2 linked regions of the Oryctolagus cuniculus genome follow. The protein of the gene in region 1 interacts with the protein of each later gene in a biochemical or structural test. Links are inferred from orthologs where the notes say so. Each region holds a gene or a part of one and is shown in the gene's direction. Other genes may lie near its edges.

The links.
Region 2: of the proteins of MYB (region 1) and NLK, one has a biochemical effect on the other in vitro, tested with the Homo sapiens proteins (2 studies listed by BioGRID, with this or other methods). The link is inferred for Oryctolagus cuniculus from reciprocal best matches to the Homo sapiens genes MYB and NLK.

The regions. Positions count from the first base shown.
Region 1 is NC_091436.1:33,732,406-33,744,207, reverse strand, and holds the start of MYB (transcriptional activator Myb), read left to right. Parts: upstream 1-5,244; 5' UTR 5,245-5,380; coding exon 5,381-5,403; intron 5,404-6,863; exon of another isoform or gene 6,864-6,988; intron 6,989-9,577; coding exon 9,578-9,695; intron 9,696-11,331; coding exon 11,332-11,403; intron 11,404-11,802. UniProt on the Homo sapiens protein: Transcriptional activator; DNA-binding protein that specifically recognize the sequence 5'-YAAC[GT]G-3'. Plays an important role in the control of proliferation and differentiation of hematopoietic progenitor cells.
Region 2 is NC_091448.1:43,849,640-43,859,827, forward strand, and holds the end of NLK (serine/threonine-protein kinase NLK), read left to right. Parts: intron 1-3,031; coding exon 3,032-3,230; intron 3,231-4,140; coding exon 4,141-4,234; intron 4,235-6,249; coding exon 6,250-6,304; 3' UTR 6,305-7,241; downstream 7,242-10,188. UniProt on the Homo sapiens protein: Serine/threonine-protein kinase that regulates a number of transcription factors with key roles in cell fate determination. Positive effector of the non-canonical Wnt signaling pathway, acting downstream of WNT5A, MAP3K7/TAK1 and HIPK2.

The DNA.
Region 1 (11,802 bases):
TTATTTGTTTGAAAGGCAGAGTAATAGAGAGGGAGGGAGGAAGAGAGAGAGAGAAAGGGAGAGAGAGTGTGTGTGAGAGGGAGAGGGAGAGACAGAGAGAGATCTTCCATTGCTCATTCACTCTCCAAATGCAGAGGCTGTGCTAGGCCTAAGTCAGGAGCCGGGTGCTCCATACTGACCTCCCTGGTGGGTGCACTTGGGCCACCATCTGCTGCCTTTCAGGTGCATTAGCAGGAAACTGGGTCAGAAGTGGAGGCAAGACCAAAACCCATGGAATGTGGGTGTCCCAAGGCGTGGTTTAACCCATTGTGCCACAATGCCCAGACCCATACAGTATTTACTGAATGTGTTACAGCTAAATGTTTAACAATAGGTCTCCCATGGGGAAACAACCCCTGTTTGTAGCATTTGCCACTTTTGTGGTGTAAATGCTCCAAGAATAGGCAATTTCAAGCTACTGTCACTGCTTGACTGATGCGAAATTGGAAGGCAAGGCCCAATAGCTCATACTATATGGCACTTCCACCACACAGATGTAGTAGACACACAACCTCAAGTGCACAGATAATAGGAAAAAAATATATATGTATATATATATATATAAAAGGAAGTGATGAGGTTTGAATGTCTTTTTTAAGAGAACTTATTGAGCCGCATGGTTATACACTTGGTGTTTAATAATGGCCACATGTAACAACCAGCTCACAAGCATTTGCTATGCACAATGCTGTCCTGGATCAGCCTCCCGGGCAAGCTCTGTTCTCAACGCCGTCTACCATCTGCTGAAGAACTCAACCCAGAGCTCTTCCATAAGAAACCACAAGCCTAACACACTGAAATCTACATGCACTTTCCTCTTTGAATCTGCTCCTGCACACTTCTCTTCCTCTCCTGACTTCCCTATTTCTATTAATGGTGCCTCCAATATCCATCCGATCAGTTGCTCTGAGCAGCCCTCTCCTTTTCATTCCACTTAGGGTTGCTGCCATAGTCTAGACCAGCTAACTGGCCCTCCCCTTCGGCCTCTTTTCACTCCAATCTATGGAGCACGCCTCTGCCAGTATAGCCCTTCCATGCTACACACACATTCATCAGGCCTTCACAGCTCTCTGCTCCAGGCCATCTGGACAGCTCCGTGTTCCCTGTGCTTGGAATACACCTTGCGGTTCCTGACTGTGTGCTTTTGCTCACACTTTCCCCTTCCTCCGAAATATCCTTCCCTTGTCATGGACGCCTCCCCTGTACTCACATGACAATGAAAATAATCCCAGCTTCAACTCTGATCAGAGTGCCTGGGTCCAGCTCCTCCGCTTCCAATCCACTTTCCTGCTAATGCACATGCTGGGAGGCAGCAAGTGAGGCTCAAGGACTTGAGTCCTTCCACCTGCTTATCATGGGAATATATACATGATGAGAATCTGCAGAGTGAAAACAAGCAGGAAGTGCCAAATCACTGAAACATCTAAAGCTAAAAATGCATTTGCTCACCCTCTCTTCTGGGTGCTCTATGAAACATATTCCATTAAAGTAACACCCCATTGCTGTAACTAAGAGCTTTGCCAGAAGTCACCATGAGGTTACTCTCAAACCTACGGCTTTCAACCACACACGCTACAGCCATTCTTCATGAACTGAAATGATCAGGAATTATGGATCCTTTAACCATTTGGTGCTTGCTGTAATTACCTTCCTCTTAATGCCCTGAGCCAACAGGGTTGAAGGGCTGAGGGAAAGGCAGGTGGTAGAGACATGGAGCCCTTGACCCCTGCTCTGTGGTCACCATTGATAATTCTCATTCACTTTCAGGATGAGGATCACAGATATTAAGGATCCTCCACAGGCCCAAGATTTCACTGCAGTCACAAACAAGCTGAATTTGTGTCTTTTGTATGTCTTTCTCCCTTAAGCCTTCCACAATCTTCAGAATCACATAAAATGCTTCAAGTGCTGGTTTTCTGGAGGGGGAGAGTCATAATGATGATTCACAAAGCACCAAGTGATTCCTTTTCTTTCAAGTTTCAGTTATGAAGCTGATGTTTTGCAGAAAAAAATAAAGACAATAGGTTACCACAGCCCTCTGGGCACCGGCAGCATCTCCCTCATGGAGGAAAAGGATTTGGGGTTAGGGAGAGCCCAAATCCTTCACCCAGGAGAGGTGAAAAAGATTGAGGTAGGAGAAGGTGATGGAAGGCACCCAGCACTCAGCTACCAACCCTAACACTGGGGTTATTAACAAGTGGTCTAGGGATCTCTTCCATGAAAACCATATGGGTACTTGTTTAGAATTCAGATTTGGAGCAAGCATTTGGCACGGTGGTTAACATGGCACTTGGGATGCCCTCATCCCTAACAGGAATGCCTGGCTCCAGCTTCTCCATTTCCAGGCCACCTCTCGCTAATGCACAGCCCGGGTACCTGCAAGTAATGGCTCAAATGCTTGGGTTCCTACCACCCACTTGGGAGGCTCAGATTCAGTTCCAGGCTCCTGGCTTTGGCCTGGCCCAGCCCTGGCTGTTGTCGGCATGTGGAGAATGAGTCAGCAAGTGGAAGACCTTTCTCTGTGATTCTCTTTCAAAGAGAGAGGGAAAGAGAGAGAGGGAGAGAGAGAGAGAGAAATTTGAAAATTTGAAAAAGATTTTTGGGCCCCACCTACTGAATTAGTCTATGGGGACAGCCTGGGTCTACGCTTTTTCATGGCTACACCCAGGGATTCTGATATACAATGAAGATCAAGGATTACTGTTCTAGTGTTGGCCAGCTAAAGCTTGCAAGTTCTATACAGCTATCAACTTAAAAATAGTGTTTACATTTTTAAAAGGTTATTGGAAGAAAGGAAAAGAAAGAATGAGAGGGAGAAAGAGAGATATGGAACAACCCACAAAGCCCGAAACATTTACTACCCAGCCCTGCACAGAGCAGCTCGCTGACTGTTGTCCAGTGCATCACAAACACAAACCTTTATTGGAATTTAGCTCCATCCCAGCCCTGCCCCAGTTTAGGTAACTGATGCAGCAGATCTTTTAAAAAATAAAATGATAAAATATGCAAAATTGGCATCTAAACTGTAAATGAAGTGGAGGCAGAGGTGAATTCTCATAACTTCCATAAACTTAACAGATGGCAGTATGTCACAAAGTAGCATAATTAAATGTCTGCATATATATTCTTTATTGGAGTACGCATGTTCCAAGCACATGATCGCCACACAACCAAGGGAAAAACGTAAAGCTATGCTCCCTTACTATCTGGGGAATGAAAATGCAACCATTAGAAACTCTCAAAACAAGGCATAGAAGAACAATGCTCAAGAGGAATGAAGGAAAATGGAATTCAGTGTCTTTCTACATAACAAGAGTTTCAGCATCTTAGAGCAGGTCCCCTGCCAGAGAATCTTGGGAAAGAGGCTGTGAACTCTCAACAGAAAGGGTTTGGATAGTCGCACTGTGTACAGGACGCCCAGCAACTGGGGCTCTTGCCAGATAGAATCAAGAAGACATCCCAAAGCCAGAATACAGTTCCTCCAGGGGTAGTTTCTAGATGTTTGTTCTAGATATTTTTTTAAATGTTGTTTATTTTTTATGTGGAGAAGGAAACTTTATTATAGGATCTAGAAATAAATATTGGCTTTAAAAATACATTAACTTGAAAGTGACATGTCTTTGGGAGTTGTGACCTGAACTATCTCTCAGCACTGGTCTCAGTGTTTTGGGTTGTTTGTTTTTTTTTTTTTTTTCTCACGAAGAAAGGAATGTTAAAACCTTACTAGAAACTAGCCTATGTTTGATAAGGATTTCAACTACATAACAATTTTTAAGAAACAAAGTTTAAAACACTAGATAAAGTCTTGAAACCTAGCATGCTTCACCATTTAATAAAATTATGACTCATTTTAGTAAGAACATGCTTTTTTTTTTTTTTTTGGTAAGAAACCTGCTTTCTGAGCTAAGTTTGAACGGTGGGGCACATGGGACACCCACAAACCCCGTCAGCAGAAGTCTCAAACTCCTGAAAGATTAAAGGAAAAATAAATTAGTGTGTACAGAGAATGAAAAAAAAAAAAAAACCCCAATGGTACTAATCTATAAGCGGAAGTAAAACTAAAACTCCCCTAAAATCCCCCAATCACCAATCCTTATAAATTCGGCACTTCTCTGCTCCTTCGACTTCTCCAGCAATCCCCCAGCTAACCGAACACCAAAGTCTCTGCTGACTTGCAGCTGATAAAACAGAGTTCTCCCACCACCCCTAGCACGGACCCCGACCTCTGTACTCACAAACCGTGTGCTTTTAAAGCCACGCATGCAAACGCGGGGTTTCCAGAGCGCTGCCGCGGGCGGGCTGTTGGGGACCCCGTGCATTCCTTCGCAGGTGCGTACCCCAGGGCGCGTACGGCGCTGGGGCGCAGGTGTGCGGTGGGCGCCCGGGTGGGTGGGGCCTGGCACGAGCCGGGGCTTGGGAGCTGGGGGCTCCTGACCAGGGACGGTAGCGTTTGGGCTGCGGGATGCTGGAGCGGAGGGAGAGCTCGGCTGGGGGGATGCTCCATGGGTGCACGGTGATAACCCCGCTAAGTGTTCCCTGTCACAAGTTTAATGAGATGTGTTCTGTATTAAAAGGGACCTGGCCAAACTCCCTCAAGTAAACACAGGTTGCCTTGCCTCCAAGTCTTCCCCCTCTAGAGAACCGAGTTGTAAACCCTACCTGAAAGCCAATCCCAATCAAATGCGGGAGTTGCCCCCACCCGCGACCCCTTGCCACCCAGGCTTCAGGTGCCCGGGAGCACGCCCGGGGGGCGACCGCGGTGCGGCTACCGAGGAGGAAAGGAGGCGGCTTCCGCGGGACTTGGCGCGGGCCAGCGCCGCCACGGCCCGGGAGCGGGGTTTGCGCAGGAAAAGGCGCCTCGGCCGCGGCCCCGGGCGCCCCTCCCCGGCCCCGGGCTCTCCGCCCGCGCGCCGCCCGGGCCTCACCGCGCGCCAGGCACAGCGCGGCGGCGCGAGCGGCGAATGGGAGCGGCGGCCCGGCGGGCCCCTCGGCCCCGCGGGCTGCAGCCAGGGCGACCGCGGAGGCGGCGGGCAGGGCGCGTGCGCACTGCAGGGGCGCCAGATTTGGCGGGAGGGGGAGTGTCCAAAGCTCTTTGTTTGATGGCATCTCTGTTTACAGAGTTTACACTTTAATATCAACCTGTTTCCTCCTCCTCCTTCTCCTCCTCCGCCGCCTCCACCTCCTCCTCCTCCTCCTCCTCTTTCTCCTAAGAAACTTCGCCCCGGCGGTGCCCAGCGTCGCTGCGCAGCCGGGGAGGGACGCAGGCAGGCGGCGGGCAGCGGGAGGCGACAGCCCCGTGCGGTCCCCGCTGCTCTCGGCGGAGCCCCGCTCCCGCCGCGCCATGGCCCGGAGACCCCGGCACAGGTAACGGGGAGCCTCGGCGGGCGACGGAGGGCGGGGACCCGCGGGGCGCCCGGCGCCCCAGAGCAGGTGGGAATGGGTTCTGGGATCCTGTGCGGGGCTGTCAGATCCCGGGCAGACCTGGAGCGCCTGGCTCGGCCGCGGGAGCCCCTGGACAGACTGACGAATGCAGAGTCTCTGCGGGAACTGTACTGGGACTTCGGGAAGGAAGCACGCCCAGCGGCTCCGTGTGCACGCTGCACGGGGATACGTTTCTCTTTCGGGGGGAAGCAGGGTGGTAAAGGAGCAGGTTCCAGCCGGGTGCAGAGCGGTGCCCCCCGGCCCCGGGGAGCCCAGCGGGTGCCGGCGAGGGGGCGCAGCCTAATTGCTGGATGCATGGAGATGCGTTTGGGGCTTGGAAGCGCAGAACATATGGCAGACACGGGAAATGCTGGATCGTTTATAGCTGCAGGTAGTTTATTTCAATTTCATTCATTCTTTATGGAGGCCGGGGCGAGTGTCAGCTGACGAGCGGCTGGAAGGAAGATTTCAGGCTAGCACGGGGGGCTCCTCGCTTGCAAACTGTTGAAGCACAGGTTGGAAGGCTCGAGGCGTTATTCCTAGGGAAGCGTTTATTTCTGTTGCAAACTCTGCCAGTGCACCCACGCGCCCGCTCCGCACATGTCCCCCGCGCTGGGCAGGCGAAAGCCCAGGGCGCTTTGGCCGAGGAGGGACATATTCGTCCGAACTGTCATTTGCTGGCCTCAGCTGCCACCGGCCGCGGCACCTCCCCGGGCTGGACACGCCGGGGCTCCCTGTGAGCCACCGCTGCCGGGGCTTAAGCCGGGGCCGTCGTGGTCGCCACGAGACCGACAGCACCCATGGCCGCTGCCGCGCAACCGACGCGTTCCCCGCCGGCGCTTCCCGGGGGCCACGGGTCCCAGCGCGGCGCGCACACGTGGACGCCGTCGCTCGGCGGCCGGCGCCTGAGGTCGCCTGTGCCGAGGCGCTGCGGCCCGACGGCCCCTGGCGCTGGACAGAAGTCCGGGGAGGCAAGGCAAGACCCACCCGCTCTTCCTTGGGTGCTCTGCTTTGCTGTCTCTTACTGCTTTTGGCTGCTCGCGCGGCGCTGGGAAGTTGCAGAGAGCGTGGGCGTGGGCCCTGCAGGAGCGCCCGGGCCACGCTGGCGGGGAGCAGCGCCCGGGCGCTGCCGGGCGCCCGGGGGCGAAATGGGCGACTCGGGGTGGGGGATGGGCTGAAGAGGACCTCGGGGGACTGGGTTTCACCTTTCGCCTTTGGGACTTAGCCGGAGAGCACCTCGGGCCACCTGCTTTCCGAGAGCAGAACGGGCATTAGGAGGAGGAGGGCGCCGGGCGCCGGGCAGGGGAGCCTGGAGGAGGCGCGGCCGAGGCTCCGCGCCCCGAGGTCCCTGCTGCCCCCCGCGGGGCGGGGCCGCGCAGGTTCCCGGCCGCTCCCAGGTAGCCCGGAGGGGAGGCGGCCGGGAGGGGCGGGAACCTTGAACCTGCCTCAGGGGGAAGAGAAACCCGGCTGCGGGCTCGGAGCCGTTTCTTGCATGGCGAGCGTCGACTCGGCCGGGATTATTAACCAGGTCAGCGAAATGAGTCTTAGCCCCTATTCTAGAATCACAGTGGCGGCCACAAGGCACTTCCTCCCGTACCCTCCCTCTTCCCAGCCACCCCCCGACACCTCTTTTCTTTTTCGTTTCTTTGCACGGTTTGTTTCCTTGACAGAACGCAGTATTCATAGTTGTACTCCGGTAACCACACCGGGTCTAGCAGGTGGGGGGAGTCGGGTGCACGGAGCCTCCTGTAAGCCTTTGAACGTCCTCTGACTGTTGGCTCCGAGACCTCGCCAGTGCAGATAAAGGAAAAGTTATTTCAGGCCCTGAGGAGAAATTAATCATGCTACCGAGGCGACAGAGAACCCTGCGAGCTAGGAAGTCGCCTGCAGAGAGAGCTCCAAGGCGGGAGCGTCCGCGCCCAGCCGGCTGATGCGGGACCCCCGAGCCGACGACGGCCTGGGCAGCCCGGACTCTCCCTGCTGCCCTCGGGGCCCCCTCAGGCCCCGCCGAAGTCACAGCCCACGACCTCCGCGCGACCTCGGGTTTGCACATCTCTGCCTCGGTGCGCGGTCTGCAAGAGTCCCGGAAGACGTGGAAGCATCATTTCTGAGCGCTGGAAAGTACCTTAGAAATAGGATCCAAGCCCTTGTGCACAGGCGAGGAACACAGGCCCCGAGAGAGAGGAAGTGATTTGTCCAAGCCACGCTGCAAGGTGGAGGCAGAGCTAGCGCCGGCCGGCCTCCGGAACCGGGTCCTGGCCCAAGGCTGTTTGCCCTCACCTGTCCTTGGCTGCCCCCTGTGGGCGGCCGCAGGTGTTGCTTGTGCCCGGGTCGCTGAGCTCAGTTCTGCAAATAGGATTTTCAGATCCAGCCAAACCTAAAAAGTGACTTTGGCTTGAATCTCTGGCTCCACTTACAGATTGCTGTGGTTCTCCTGGTGTTCCTGGTATTTGACAAGGGGATAGCTACTGCATTTGGGGGTGCATAAAACGGAGTTGCTAGGGACCTTTCAAAACTGACTTAAAGCTCCCAGCTTATCGCAATTGGGGGAGGGGTCACTGTGTTTACATGAAAGAAAAACGTGTAATTATTATTGGTCAGAAGTTGTTCAGTACCTCGTGTTCAACGTGCGAAACCGCAGTAGGCTCTTCTTTCAAAAGATCACCCCTATATAAAAGAAATTATTTCAGATTATAAATATAGTTCAGTATACGATGTGTTTGTTGCTTGGCTGGTTTAGTTTTTTGGTACTTAAATTTGACTAAGTACTAATTTAAGTACTAAGTACTTAAATTTGTTTCACAGTGCAACCTGAGCCACCTGATGTTGTCCTAAATTCTAGTTAGAAACTATTTGAACCCCTAAGCCAGGGTTTTGGGTGAGTATTTTTGCTTGACCTGTGGGACATTGGCAGTATGCACTCATGAGTAGTTTGGGAAGATAAAACCTGAAACAAATATAAACCTCCTTCTAAAAAATAATAAACCACATTATGATGTTACTTTAGATCATCGTTTTTATTGGTCCCATTTCAGTGGATTTCTCAATATTACAATGATAAATTTTCTAAGATTAGTATAATTTTTCCTATCCTAAGTTTTATTAGAAAAATTATAGCTAAAGCTAAACCATCAAGTTACTCCCATCTAGTTAGTATACGATTAATAAACATTGAGTGTAGGGTTGCTTCAAAAGTCATCAAAAGTCTTGATTTTAGTCAACTAGGTAAAGGAAAAGCTCTTTTGAAAATGGTAATGGGTTCTTTTTAAACTCATCGACTTCTTCTGCGTGAATCCCTTAGTTTTGGGTAAGGCACATTGTAAGATATTTCAAACACCGTTCCATCAGAGACAGAAAAAAGCACAGGTGTGAGATTCAGACTATCAGATGACTTCATCATTCACTTAGTTACTCTGGAGATGGGGTATTGTAAACAAGACCAGAGCCTGGGTCAGCCTGGCCCAGAGCTTTAAGAATTGGATATTGATGTCATTTACCGTTCACTCCCTTGTCGGTCGGTCTACCCTTCCTTGGGATTAAAATCCCTTTTCTCTTAGATTCTCCTAATCTTCTCATCTTTAAGAAATGACTGTAATTATGTTAGTGGATATATTACTTCTCAAAACTTTTTTTTGTTTGTTTAGTAGAATGCCAGCCCTGTTGGAGTAACCTAATTGAGTTGTTTATTGTGTTTGAGAAATACCGTTTAAATGATGTGACATATGCCTGAGATTTCGAGTGTGTGCTATAGAAAGGACATGGGCTCTTGTTCCTTTTCTTGCCCTGAACATTAAGATTTAAACGGAAGCCTTCATTGGTTGGAAGGTGGCCAGATGTGTCACTTGTCGCTGGTCTAGCAGTAACAGCAGGTTGAAACATGCAGAGGAATAGGCAAGTGCCAGATCCTTCACCGTATCTGTGGATACCAACAACAGCAGAGCCAGTTTCCAATACCAGAGCAACAGATTGCAGAATGCAGTCTTGTGGTGCGAGTTTTCAGAGTTTCATCTCCATAACCATTGGAAAGATGACTGAGGAGCCGTTGTGCACATTTTGAAATCCAGTAGTTCAAACCCTCTGGTTTCAGCCCTCGTCTGCCCCCTTCTTATTTCCGCAGCATTTACAGTAGCGACGAGGATGACGACGATATTGAGATGTGTGACCACGACTATGACGGGCTGCTTCCCAAATCCGGAAAGCGTCACTTGGGGAAAACTAGGTGGACCAGGGAAGAGGTAACGAATCACTTTATCAGAACATGAGGCGGACGCAGCGTGTGTCATTTAGGAAACACAAGATTTCAGCCAAGTCACAGGTGTCCAAACTCCTTAGCAAGCTCTCTGAGATCCTGTCCCAGCCGGCCCGTGCAGCAGGCAGCCCTCACCACTCTGCCACACGTCCATTCCCAAGCTCTTTCTAGTTCTTTGAATGTCCTCTTCTTGCCACTTTCTGCTTCCTCTGCGCTTCTGTCCACCTGCCAATGTCTCAACCTTTAGCCCCTCCAGGTCTTACTGCTTCTTCGGGACCCATGAACGCAGGGCCTCTTCCGTGAAGCCAGCCGTGGCTTCCTCAGATGTCTCAGCCTGCGGTCCCATGCTGTTGGCTCCCTGTCTGCCTTACTGTTGCTGTGACCCATCTGCCTCTCTTAGGAGACTGCAAGGCTCTTGAGGGCAGCGCTAAGTGTCTCTTCCTCTTTATGTTCACAATGGCTTGACACAAAGTAGAATGCCAATACATGTTCCCTGAATGAATTGTTATTTCCCAAAACTCAGCAAACAAACGAAGAAAACGAAACATTGAAAAATCGTCTCGGTATAATATGCTCATTTAATATCCTTCATGTATTTCACAGAGCGTCCAGTAATGAATGCACATGTATTTGCTTCCCACTCTTCTTTCGCAACAAGCTCACCAAAAGCTTCATCTTTCGATCTGATCCCAATTAGTAATGCTTGAGGAGGGGTTTCTTCTTCTTTAATGCTGTCAGTGAATTTGCAACTAATTTTAGAGGATTTCTTGTTAGAATAAATGGTATTAACTCTTCTTCAGATCCATTGCACTGTACTTCATTGAAACCAGAGCCCCTCCTGACACGAGTCAGGGTTCCCTGGGAGTCTTACAGGAACTGCACATTTCACCTCGCCATGTGCACTTGGATGGTCCCTAGAGATCTAGAAGTTCTGCTGTTAATCCTGGTTTCCTAATTCCTGCGTCTGTGTTGTCCCGAGGCTTCCGTTGCGTGTGAATGTTATCTTTGCAGAAACTTTAGAAGGAAGACACTTAGACACGTGTGAGCTGGTAGCACTGCCAACAGTCTGTGAGCTGAACCAATTGCCCACACGTGTTAGCGTCTTCTGTGTTCTCATATGTTGGGTCTCATTTGACACAAAACTGAAATATTTTCATACATTGAATGTGCCTTCAGGTTTAACTAAGAAAAGGGAGCTTCCATTTTGTTATTTGAAAGAGGTTGAGCCTATATATATATATATATATATATATATATATATCAAACACTCAATATGTGTCGGCATCATGCTATTTTCAGTAATTATGTCATGTAATTCCCTCTTGATATCAGCATTCCCATTTTACAGATGACAATACCACATTGCAGAAAGGTACAACGACCAACCCAAGCTCAGACAACTAATCAGCACCTGAGTTGAGATGCAAACTTGGTCTGATTCTAAATAAATCAGTGCTCTCAGTCACTCTATTACATTTTTATCTGCTGTATTTGGACACAGTCGAGAGAGTTTTTTTTTTTTCCTGGCGTGCACTATTGGATCGGTTCCTTTGTTTACTGTAAGTTGAACAGAGTTATACAGTAAATGATTGATATCCTAGGATTACCTTTAAATGTCTTAGGATGAAAAACTAAAGAAGCTGGTGGAACAGAATGGAACAGATGACTGGAAAGTTATTGCCAATTATCTCCCGGTAAGTTAGTGTTTTTTAAAAATTTTTATGAAAGTAAAGCTCTTCGCAAAGACTTAAATAAAATATTCAAGGAAAGGTTCTTAAGGTGTTAGACATTTACTCCAATTTAAGAAGTTGGGGATGAGATGTGCCATCCATAAATTATATTTATATTGTAATTCATGTAATTGGAGTTTTAAAGTAGATCATTATAGGATTTTGACAACATAAGCAGTTGCTTCTTATTCATTTGTTAGGATAATTTAGCATTTTGGTGATTTGTTACATGGAAGATGATTAAAATTGATATTTTCGGGGCCAGAGCTATGGCGTGGCGGGTAAAGCCACGCCTGCAGCACTGGCATCCCATATGGGTGCTGGTTCAAGTCCCACTTCCAATCCAGCTCTCTGCTGTGGTAT
Region 2 (10,188 bases), on another chromosome or scaffold:
CTCTGCCTTTCAAGTAAGTAAATAAATCTTTGAAAAAATAGCAAGGCTAAATAGGTGCAGGCTGCGTAGCACAGGTTAAGCTGCTGTTTGAGATCCCATATCAGGAAAAAGGAGTTACAAGAGAGAGGGAGAGACAGAGAGAGAATGAGAGGCCCTCTATCTACTGGTTTATTCCCCAAGTAGCCGCATCTGCCAGGAGAGACTGGAACTCCAAGTGGGTGGCAGGGGCCCAAGCATTTGAGTCATCAGTCATCTACCACTGCTTTTCCCAGGCCATCAGCAGTACATTGGATCAGAAGTGGAGTAGCCAGACATGAACCACTGCCCATATGGGATGTCACAGGTGGCAGCTTTATTTGCAATGGCAGAATGCCAGCCCCTCAGGGAAAATTTTTTCTTTTTTAAAGTTTATGTATTTGGCCCTGCGCTGTGGCGTAGCAGATGAAGCCGCCACCTACAGTGCCAGCATCTCATATGGGCACCTGTTTGAGTCCTGGCTGCTCCACTTCCAACCCAGCCCTCTGCTATGGCCTAGGAAAGCAGTGGAAGATGGCCCAAGTCCTTGGGCTAGTGCACCCACGTGGAAGACCCTCAAGAAGCTCCTGGCTTCTGATGAGCACAGCTCTGGCCATTCCAGCAATTTAGGGAGTGAACCAGCAGATGGAAGACCTTTCTCTCTCTGCCTCTGCCTCTCTGTAAATCTGCCTTTCTTTTTTTTTTTTTTTTTTAAGATTTATTAATTTATTTGAAAGTCAGAGTTACACAGAGAGAGGAGAGGTAGGGAGAGAGATATTCCATCTTGATGGTTCACTCCCCAATTGGCCGCAATGGTCGGAACTTTGCCAATCCGAAGCCAGGAGCCAGGAATTTCTTCCGGGTCTCCCATGTGAAGGCAGGGTCCCAAGGACTAGGGCCATCTTCTACTGCCTTCCCAGGCCCTAGCAGAGAGCTGGATCAGAAATGGAGCAGCTGGGACTAGAACCAGCGCCCACTTGGGATTCTGCCACTTCAGGCCAGGGCGTTAACCCGCTGCTGCATAGCACGGGCCCCTTAAATCTGCTTTTCAAATAAATAAATAGATCTTTTAAAAAAAAAAGTTAATGTATTTATTTGAGAGGCAGAGCCACAGAGAGAGAGAGGGAGAGACAGAAAGGTCTACCATCAGCTGGTTCACTCCCCAAATGGCTGCAACAACCAGAGCTGAGCCAGTCCCAGGCCAAGAGCCAGGAGCTTCTTCCATGTCTCCCAGGTGGGTGCAGGGGACCAAGTACTTGGGCCATCCTCCACTACTTTCCCAGGCCATAGTAGAGAGCTGTATCAGAAGTGGAGCAGCCAGGACTCGAACCAGCACCCTTTTGGGATGTCAGCACTGCAGGCAGCAGCCTTACTCTCTACGCCACAGTGCCAGTCCCCAAGATTATTGTCTTAACTCACAGTCAAAGTTTTTTGAAATCTTTGGGTTTACCACTTCAGCAAGAAAAAATTTCTAAAATGCCAATATATTTAATCCTTGACAAAGAGTATTATTTTCAAGTCTTTGAAATTTTTTGTCTTCAATATACTGAAAGCAAATTGGAACAGATTTGATGTTAAGAAATCTCATAATATGGTATATTGACTCCCTACAGAAGTATACAAAGTACATCAGTTTGTTTACCTAGAAATATTTCATATTTGTAAAATGGAAAGTTTTATCAACTTTTATTCAAGACTAAGGGAGCCAATTCTGATAAAGCAACAGAGCACAGGATAGAAAAAGGTGTCCGTATCTATTACAAATGTTGAACAGTTAAAGAAACAAGATATTCACAATGTGTAATTAAGATATATAATATGCAATTAAGTGCCATTAGGTCTTTTAGAACACCATTATTAACCATCTGAGTAATTTTGTGATTTCTTTCTCAATTTAGCAAGAGAGTCCTTCCTGTCAGTGATATCACATTTTGTAAAATAACAGCCTCCTTTCTTTGGCCTTGTGAGGTCCTAAAGAGGTGTTAATTTGTTTAGAGACATGGAGGTTGATCATTGCCTGCCAGGAATCTGGTTTACTTTTTGTTCAAAGGTTTCTCTTTGGTAAAACACTTTGGTACACATAGAACACATAGAGCATAATATCCATAGTCAGGGAAAACACTAAAATCTTTTCAACCCTACATTCTCAAATTTCAGGAAATACCAATCTGCAGACAAAAGAAGCTAACACAGGAAGCAGACTCCAGCTGCTGGTGCCAGCTGACTGGGACCCAGTGTCTGACATCTGCCACCTGATAGAAATGACTTAATGGTCAGATGATAAAGCGCAGATTTAATCACCATTGCCAATAGTGTGAGCAGCTGGCAGCATGTTCAGTCACAGATTTGGCCAAGGACCAAATTTAATGTACAGAAAAGCTAGAGAACTGAGTCCCACAGGTGTGACCAAAGAAGCCAAGGAAAGGGGAGCTGACCACCAGAGGGGTTCAGGACCAGGTCTGCTGCTCTGTTAGTATACTTGTTTCTTTGGGTTTAAATGGGGGAACTTTATCCCAGTGATTTCCTATCTCTCCAGGAAGACTTGGACTTTTTAAAGGAAAAAAACTTTGCTTGCTGTTAGTGCAAGGGAGTCAGGCTTAGAAGGGCTGGGTCACCAAACATATTACCCACAACCTAACAAATAGGTAATGGCAGTAAAGGAAAAAAAACAAGGTCACCAAGCTTACCCTTGTAGGTTCATGGTGGATAACCAACAGCTTTGTTTTATCTTATCCTGAAAGGTCATGATATAAGCATGGTAGGAACTCAATTTTAGTAGAAATACACATGTAAGTGCTTTATGGTGGTATATGCTAACAGTAGTTTGTCATCCTAAGCTACATGCCCCCTCTATTTCTATGTTCACTTTTAAATTCAGTTATCCTTCTTTGCCTATGATATACTATAAATTAAGTGTAAACTATGTAAAGCAATTTCTGTGTCTTGTGAAATATCTTGTGTGGACAGTCATATTTATCTGTAGTGTTGATGTGCTGGTCTCTAAATTTGATTTCAGTCTAAAAGAATATCCGCTAAGGATGCCTTAGCCCACCCCTACTTAGATGAAGGGCGACTACGATACCACACGTGTATGTGTAAATGTTGCTTTTCCACCTCCACTGGAAGAGTTTATACCAGTGACTTTGAGCCCATCACCAATCCCAAATTTGATGACACTTTTGAGAAGAACCTCAGTTCTGTCAGACAGGTTAAAGGTGAGTGTCTTTTTTGGCCTTTGGCCAAGCAAGATGACTGGTAACATTTTCTGTTATGTGCCTGTGAAGAGCTGAGAGCTGGATGCTGACCAGAGTTCCTCTGTATGTTTATTTTATTACCTTACTAACAACTGTGTGTCCAGGCAGATCTGTCAGGAAAGCTATGTGTGTTGTGCAAATGTTGATTTAATGTTGCATGGAGGAGAGGGTCAGGCAGAAGAATGACTGTTTTGTTCTTATTTTCAAAGTGGTAGTGAGTGTAACTCAAAATATATTTAATATGTATTCATTCTGTCATTTCATTAACTGAAATACTTGCCTTCTTTTTTAAAAGGATTAAAACCCACTGAGGGAATTATTCTTTGAATGATGCCTAGAGAAAGGAAATTCTGATAGTTTATTCATAAAATTTCATGGCATGATAGATAATCTGTTGAGATGGATGGAGTAGGTATAATGACATCCAAAATTCTGAATGTTTAAAATGTGTCTCTTCCAGGGCATTTAGAAGAGAGGGTAGCTCCCAAAGTAAACAACCCAAAACTATATACCTAAATACCAACTGAAATTTTTAAGTGATCTTGAAAAAGGTGATAATTACCAGCAGTTTAGAAGAGTTCACCCATTACACCAATCCTATGGAGTCTGAAATTTCTAGACTATTTTACTCTTTACATTGATGGGGTTCCAGTCTGTGTAATGCCACCCTTTAGGGTTTTGTCTGTATTTAGCAACAGCTGTCATTTTTGTTTCAGAAAAGTTCAGTTGTGCTCTGCTTGATAGCTGACCTGTGTCTTTGATGTAACTAAACCAATAGGAAATGCCATTCAGATGCTAAAGTTAGCTGAGAATCCACTGCTCCCAGGCCTGCAAATTAGCATGGATTAAATGATGTTTGTTTTCTCCACAGAAATTATCCACCAGTTTATTTTGGAACAGCAGAAAGGAAACAGAGTGCCTCTCTGCATCAACCCTCAGTCTGCTGCTTTTAAGAGCTTTATTAGGTAACTATATGTATGTATTTCTGACATTCTTATTAGAAGTTAAAAGATGTTGTGATTTTGTTACTCAGCATATTCCCGTTTTTATGTAGATTGGATAACATAGATAAAAGCTCTGACAGAAGCCATTATGAGCTTTGGCTATAGTCAAAGGTATATTTAAAATAGAAGCGTCAGTTTGCACGTTGATGCCAGTCCACGGTGGTTGCTGTGGCAGTTTTTCCCCAGGTGCGCATTGTGCTGCCTGATGATGAGCATGTGCATGGGGTCTTGCTGCAGCCACAGTGTGGCCACCACCTGCCTGGGGATTAACATGGTCATCTTGGTTCCCACTGCTGTTCCCACCCTAGTAATAATAACTGCAAGCAAGAAAATGCCTTTTTTAAAGGTGAGCTCCTCACCTGGCTTATTTAGAGGAGAAGCCAACAGGCTTATAGCAGAGCTATGAACCTGTTTGCATCCTAGCAAGCTTCCTTCTGTTTGTCCCTTTGTCCTGCCTTCCCTTGGTCTCTATATTAATCAGGGTGCAGTCAAGACAGAAACTGCTCCAGTAATATGAATGGGGAAAATTAAGTTACAAGAATCATTAACAAGATGGCTAGCTACTGAAAGGCATAAAAAGAGGATTCTGAAGTAGCAGATGCAGAAAGGAGCTACTTCTGTAGACTGAGGGCAAGTGAATGAGGAGGAAAGAAGATGCCCTCCACCAGGGAGTTCTTTGGAGGGAGTCTGTCTGCTACAGGAATGCACAGCAGGAGGGCAAGGAAGGAATGTCCCAGAAGGTGTGGGCAGAGGCCTGCTAGGTCGCAAAGAAAGTTGCCAGACAGTTTGGTAGACCAAACCTGGCCTTGCACATCAAGACAAAAAGAGAACGCCAGAATCAGAGGGAAGCTGCCTCCTGCTGTGTGTTCAGCCTTGCAGTGCCCTTCCAGCGCCATCTGTTGCCAAAGGCTAACATTAAGCCCCGTGGTAAGAGGGAGCCGAGAACAGTTTCTGGCTCCAGTGTCACAAACAGGACAAAGGGTGGATTTGGATCTGAGAAGCCACATAGTCTCCTTTTTTCCCCACCTGCCTTTCTCCCTCTCCCTGTCTTCTCTTTCCTTTTCATACATGATATTGAAGTGGTCTGAATTTGTTGAACCAAAGTAAAGAATTTTTGTTTAAAAATTGTGAAATGAAGTGACTTTCATTTCCTCCATGTATTTTTTTCTGTAGAAGCAAGGAATTAACTTCTATTTTTAACTTCTCTGTGATTTTAAATTACTTTGTTTTACTATTTTACTCTAAAACCAGAGACCCAGTCAGCCAAGTACAAATCATTTGTTATCCTTGGCTCTGGGGAACTCAAGTGGTTACCACCACCCCTACCACCCCTTCTCAGGTTTATAATCTAATTAGCAACCTGAGAGAATCATATAAAGTAACTAAAACAGATCTATGGATAACAAATGTTAAAGGATTATACCTCCTAGTCCATTACTGTTTGGTAAAAGATTGTTTATGACACACCTACAAAATAGGACTCCCCTGAAAGTCACCATATTTTGAGAGGCCACTTTTAAGTGGATAATTTTTGCATCCTTTAAGGTTATTTTCCTGATTTATAATAGATATTATTTAGAATAGCTACTACTAACATTATGCAATAGGCACCATGGAAAAATGCTTTACATATATTATCACAGCTATTCATCACAATATCCTGTGAGGCAGATAGCATTATCCTTTTCCAAACATAAAAAGATCAAGGAACTTGCTCAGTGCTCAACTTTAAATTATATGTTGTCTTCAGGCCCACGTCTTAGCCACCGTGCCATATCACCTCACTATAGGTAATGGACTCAAATGGACAATTTGCAGCAAATTTAACATTAAAGAAGTTAAAGAGACAAAAATAAAAATCCAGGAATGGGCTTAAAGTTTTTTAAAGGAAGAGAGGAAAAGACAGGCAGCATGGGGTTGCCCTGTTGCCTGCTGGAGTGTTACAGCTGATTTCACCATCTGTCCCTTTTTTCCAGTTCCACTGTTGCTCAGCCGTCTGAGATGCCCCCATCTCCTCTGGTGTGGGAGTGACCGTGGACGATAGTGTACTACTGAAGATGTGATGTAGCTTTCCACTGGAGTCTGGGATTTGCAATTCTGGAGGTTAATCATGCTTGTACTGTAATTTTACTAATGAAGTTTTAAATTAACAACCACTACTTGTATGATATGAATAATATTTAGAAATGTTACTAGACTTTTAATCTTGTAAAGTGGTTGTGCTTTTAGAAGAGAAATATTTTACCCAGAGTTGCACATGTTTTATGAATTTAGTGCAGCTGTTATGGCTCACCTCAGAACAAAAGAGAATGAACCAAATTTGGGAGTTTGGGGTTTTGTGTTTTTGTTTTGTTTTGTTTTGTTTTTCTCTTTTTAAAATGAAGTGAGATTGTTCACACACACAAACACACACACACACACACAAACACACAAAGGACAGTCATACTTTTTGATATTTGAGCCATTCCTAAAGATTTGGGGTTTTCTAAAACTAAAGAATCTAGAAACCTTGCCTGCGACCAATCATGGAGCCACAGGAGCTGATTGTGGCTGCACCTGGGGGGGAGGGTTGGGAGGAGGGGCATGCCACCGAATGATCAAGCCCTATGATTAGCTTCTCGTTAGAGCCGTGATGGTGATGTGTGCTGTCTAAAATCCAATGTTGTGGGTAGAGAGAATGAGTTTGTGACTAGGAGAGACTAAACTTTTGTTTTCCTTACCCAGTATAAATATATATATATATATTTAATCTATTTTTATTAGAAGTTTTTCTGCTCTTTCTTACATAAAAAACCCCAAGCATGCATCTTTCATGTGTGTAAATAATTCATTTCTGGGCTAATTTCAAAAGAATCCCAACATTGCTGTATAGAGAGAGAACTAGCTTGCACATTTTAGGTCTGTGAAATTTTGTGAGACTTTTCCTGCACTGGACAGTGAAAAATAATAAATAAAAGACAAAAACAAATTTTAAAAAATTTTAAAGCCACAAAAAAGGCACATAGGGGATTATGTCAAATGTGTTTGTGTCCTTAAGCAAAGCTGTGGGAGTCTTGAAATGTCACAGTAGTAAATAACTTATTACTTTTTGACAAAGTCTTTTTCCTGTTGGAACACTGAATTCTTGTGTGCATATGTATATATGAATACAAATCGAAGGCCTCTACCTCCTGGAGCTATACAACTTGGCTTGTTTACCTCCACATGCTGATGATGACTATTTTTTTTTTTTAAGTTCAATGTGGAGACTTGAAACTTGAATGTCCCTTCCAACTTTTATATTAAAAATAAAAAGACAAGAAAATTGAAGATCGTTTTTCACCTGTACAAGGAGTACTAATGGATCGTCTTAAAATTGGTCTAGGAAAAAACCTTGGTGTGTGTTATGGACAATTAACTGTTAAAGTTATTGTAAGTTATCTGTATTTAGCAGAGTATTTTCATCTTGAGTGATCTGAGCTGAATTTGAAGACTATTAATAAGTTATGTTTGGAAGTTTTAACTTCAATGAAGTAATTATTTGCTGTGAAAGAAACAAACATTGAATTACTAAACAAAGATGGTGCAATATCTTTGTTTTTTTTTATGAGGCTCCTGAGAATCAACCCAACTGAAGCATTTCAATTCACTTGAATGAGAAACGTGTTTAGTATCAAAAGAGCCCGAGAAGACACTGGTGTGAAAGGTACAATCTCAGAGGTTGGTCAGTTCCCGTGGCACACTTTCTGGTCACTTTGTACAATGTAGATTTGAAGTACAGTGGTGAAAACATTAAATGTGACATTTGAAAAAATGTGTCTTCTGTTTTATTTCAGTTTCTTTGCTTTGTTTATGCTTCTGTAAAGTACTTTGCTAAGTCTTGAGACATTTCCTACTTATATTTCCACTTGGGTTTCTGAGGAAATTAGAAATTTTCTAAAATTTCCCTGGAAGCTGAAGTGCCAAAAACATGTTGAAAACTTAGTTAACCAATATCAGAAACACTGTGACTAAGTCTGGAATGGCATGAACTTCTCCCCCATCCTCTCTTTTTTTTTTTTTTTTTTTTTTTGACAGGCAGAGTGGACAGTGAGAGAGAGAGACAGAGAGAAAGGTCTTCCTTTCTTCCTTTTGCCGTTGGTTCACCCTCCAATGGCCGCCACAGCCGGCGTGCTGCGGCGCTGCGGCCGGCGCACCACGCTGATCCGATGGCAGGAGCCAGGTACTTATCCTGGTCTCCCATGGGGTGCAGGGCCCAAGCACTCGGGCCATCCTCCACTGCCCTCCCGGGCCACAGCAGAGAGCTGGCCTGGAAGAGGGGCAACCGGGACAGAATCCGGTGCCCCGACCGGGACTAGAACCCGGTGTGCCGGCGCCGCAAGGCAGAGGATTAGCCTAGTGAGCCACGGCGCCGGCCTCCCCCATCCTCTCTTAATTTAGCAAAATGAATAGATGTTATTTTTCCTGATCTGGGAAACTCGACTGTTAAATACAAATGTGTGTCTTAGTTTACTCATTTAACAAACTTTTTTTTTAAGTTTCATCTGCTTTGTTTTGTTTTTAGGATTTTTTTAGGATTTTTATGTATTTACTTGAAAGCCAGAGTTATAGAGAGGCAGAGGCAGAGAGAGAGAGAGAAGTCTTCTATTTGCCAGTTCATTCCCCAAATGGCCACAACAGGCAAAGCTGAGCCGATCCAAGGCCAGGAGCTTCTTCCGGGTCTTCCCACACAGGTGCATGGGTGATGGTCCTTGGGCCATCTTCCACTGCTTTCCCAGACCACAGCAGGGAGCTGGATCAGAAGTGGAGCAGCTGGGACTCGAACCAGTGCCCATATGGGATGCTGGTACTGCAGGCAGTACCAACAGGCTTTACCTGCTATACCACAGCACCGACCCTATAAACCTTTGAATACTTACTAAGTGCAGGAAGCTATGCTACTATCAATGAATGCTTAAGTAAGAAAACCAGTTTTCCTCATTTAGGAAAAAAACATTTTGAACTGCACATATAACACGTTCTTTTTTAAAAGATTTTATTTATTTATTTGAAAGGCAGAGTCACAGAGAAGCAGAGAGAAAGAGAGGTCTTCCATCCACTGGTTCACTCTCCAAGTGGCAGCAACAGCTGGAGCTGTGCCAATCCAGAGCCAGAAGCTTCCTCCAGGTCTCCCACATTGGTGGAGGGGCCCGAGGACTTGGGCCATCCTCTACTGCTTTCCCAGGCCATGGCAGGGAGCTGGATCAAAAATGGAGCAGCCAGGACTAGAACTGGCGCCCATATTTGATGCCAGCACGGCAGGCAGCAGCTTTACCTGCTACACCACAGTGCCAGCCTTGACATACAACACTTTGAAACTGAAGTTCCTCACACATCAATAGAAGAGAAAATATATTGACCTGTTCCCACTGGAATCTGTCTAGTAAACCAAGGAATTTATGTGTTATTTATTTAAAATAGTTGGGAATTGCAAATATGTAGAATTTCTAAAGGCAATAAAGTATGGACAGGTAAGTTAGGGCTGTCAGCTACAGTCTCTTTGCTGTTTAAATAGAAGCCCAGGGGTGGGTGTTTGGCCTAGTAGTTAAGACACTGGTAATAGCTGGCGCCGTGGCTCACTAGGCTAATCCCCCGCCTGCGGCGCTGGCACCCCAGGTTCTAGTCCCAGTTGGGGTGCCGGATTCTGTCCCAGTTGCCTCTCTTCCAGTCCAGCTCTCTGCTGTGGCCAGGGAGTGCAGTGGAGGATGGCCCAAGTCCTTGGGCCCTGCACCCACGTGGGAGACCAGGAGAAGCACCTGGCTCCTGGCTTCAGATCAGTGTGATGCGCTGGCCGCAGAGGCCATTGTGGGGTGAAATAACAGAAAAGGAAGACCTTTCTCTCTGTCTCTCTCTCTCTCACTGTCCACTCTGCCTGTCAAAAAAAAAAAAAAAAAAAA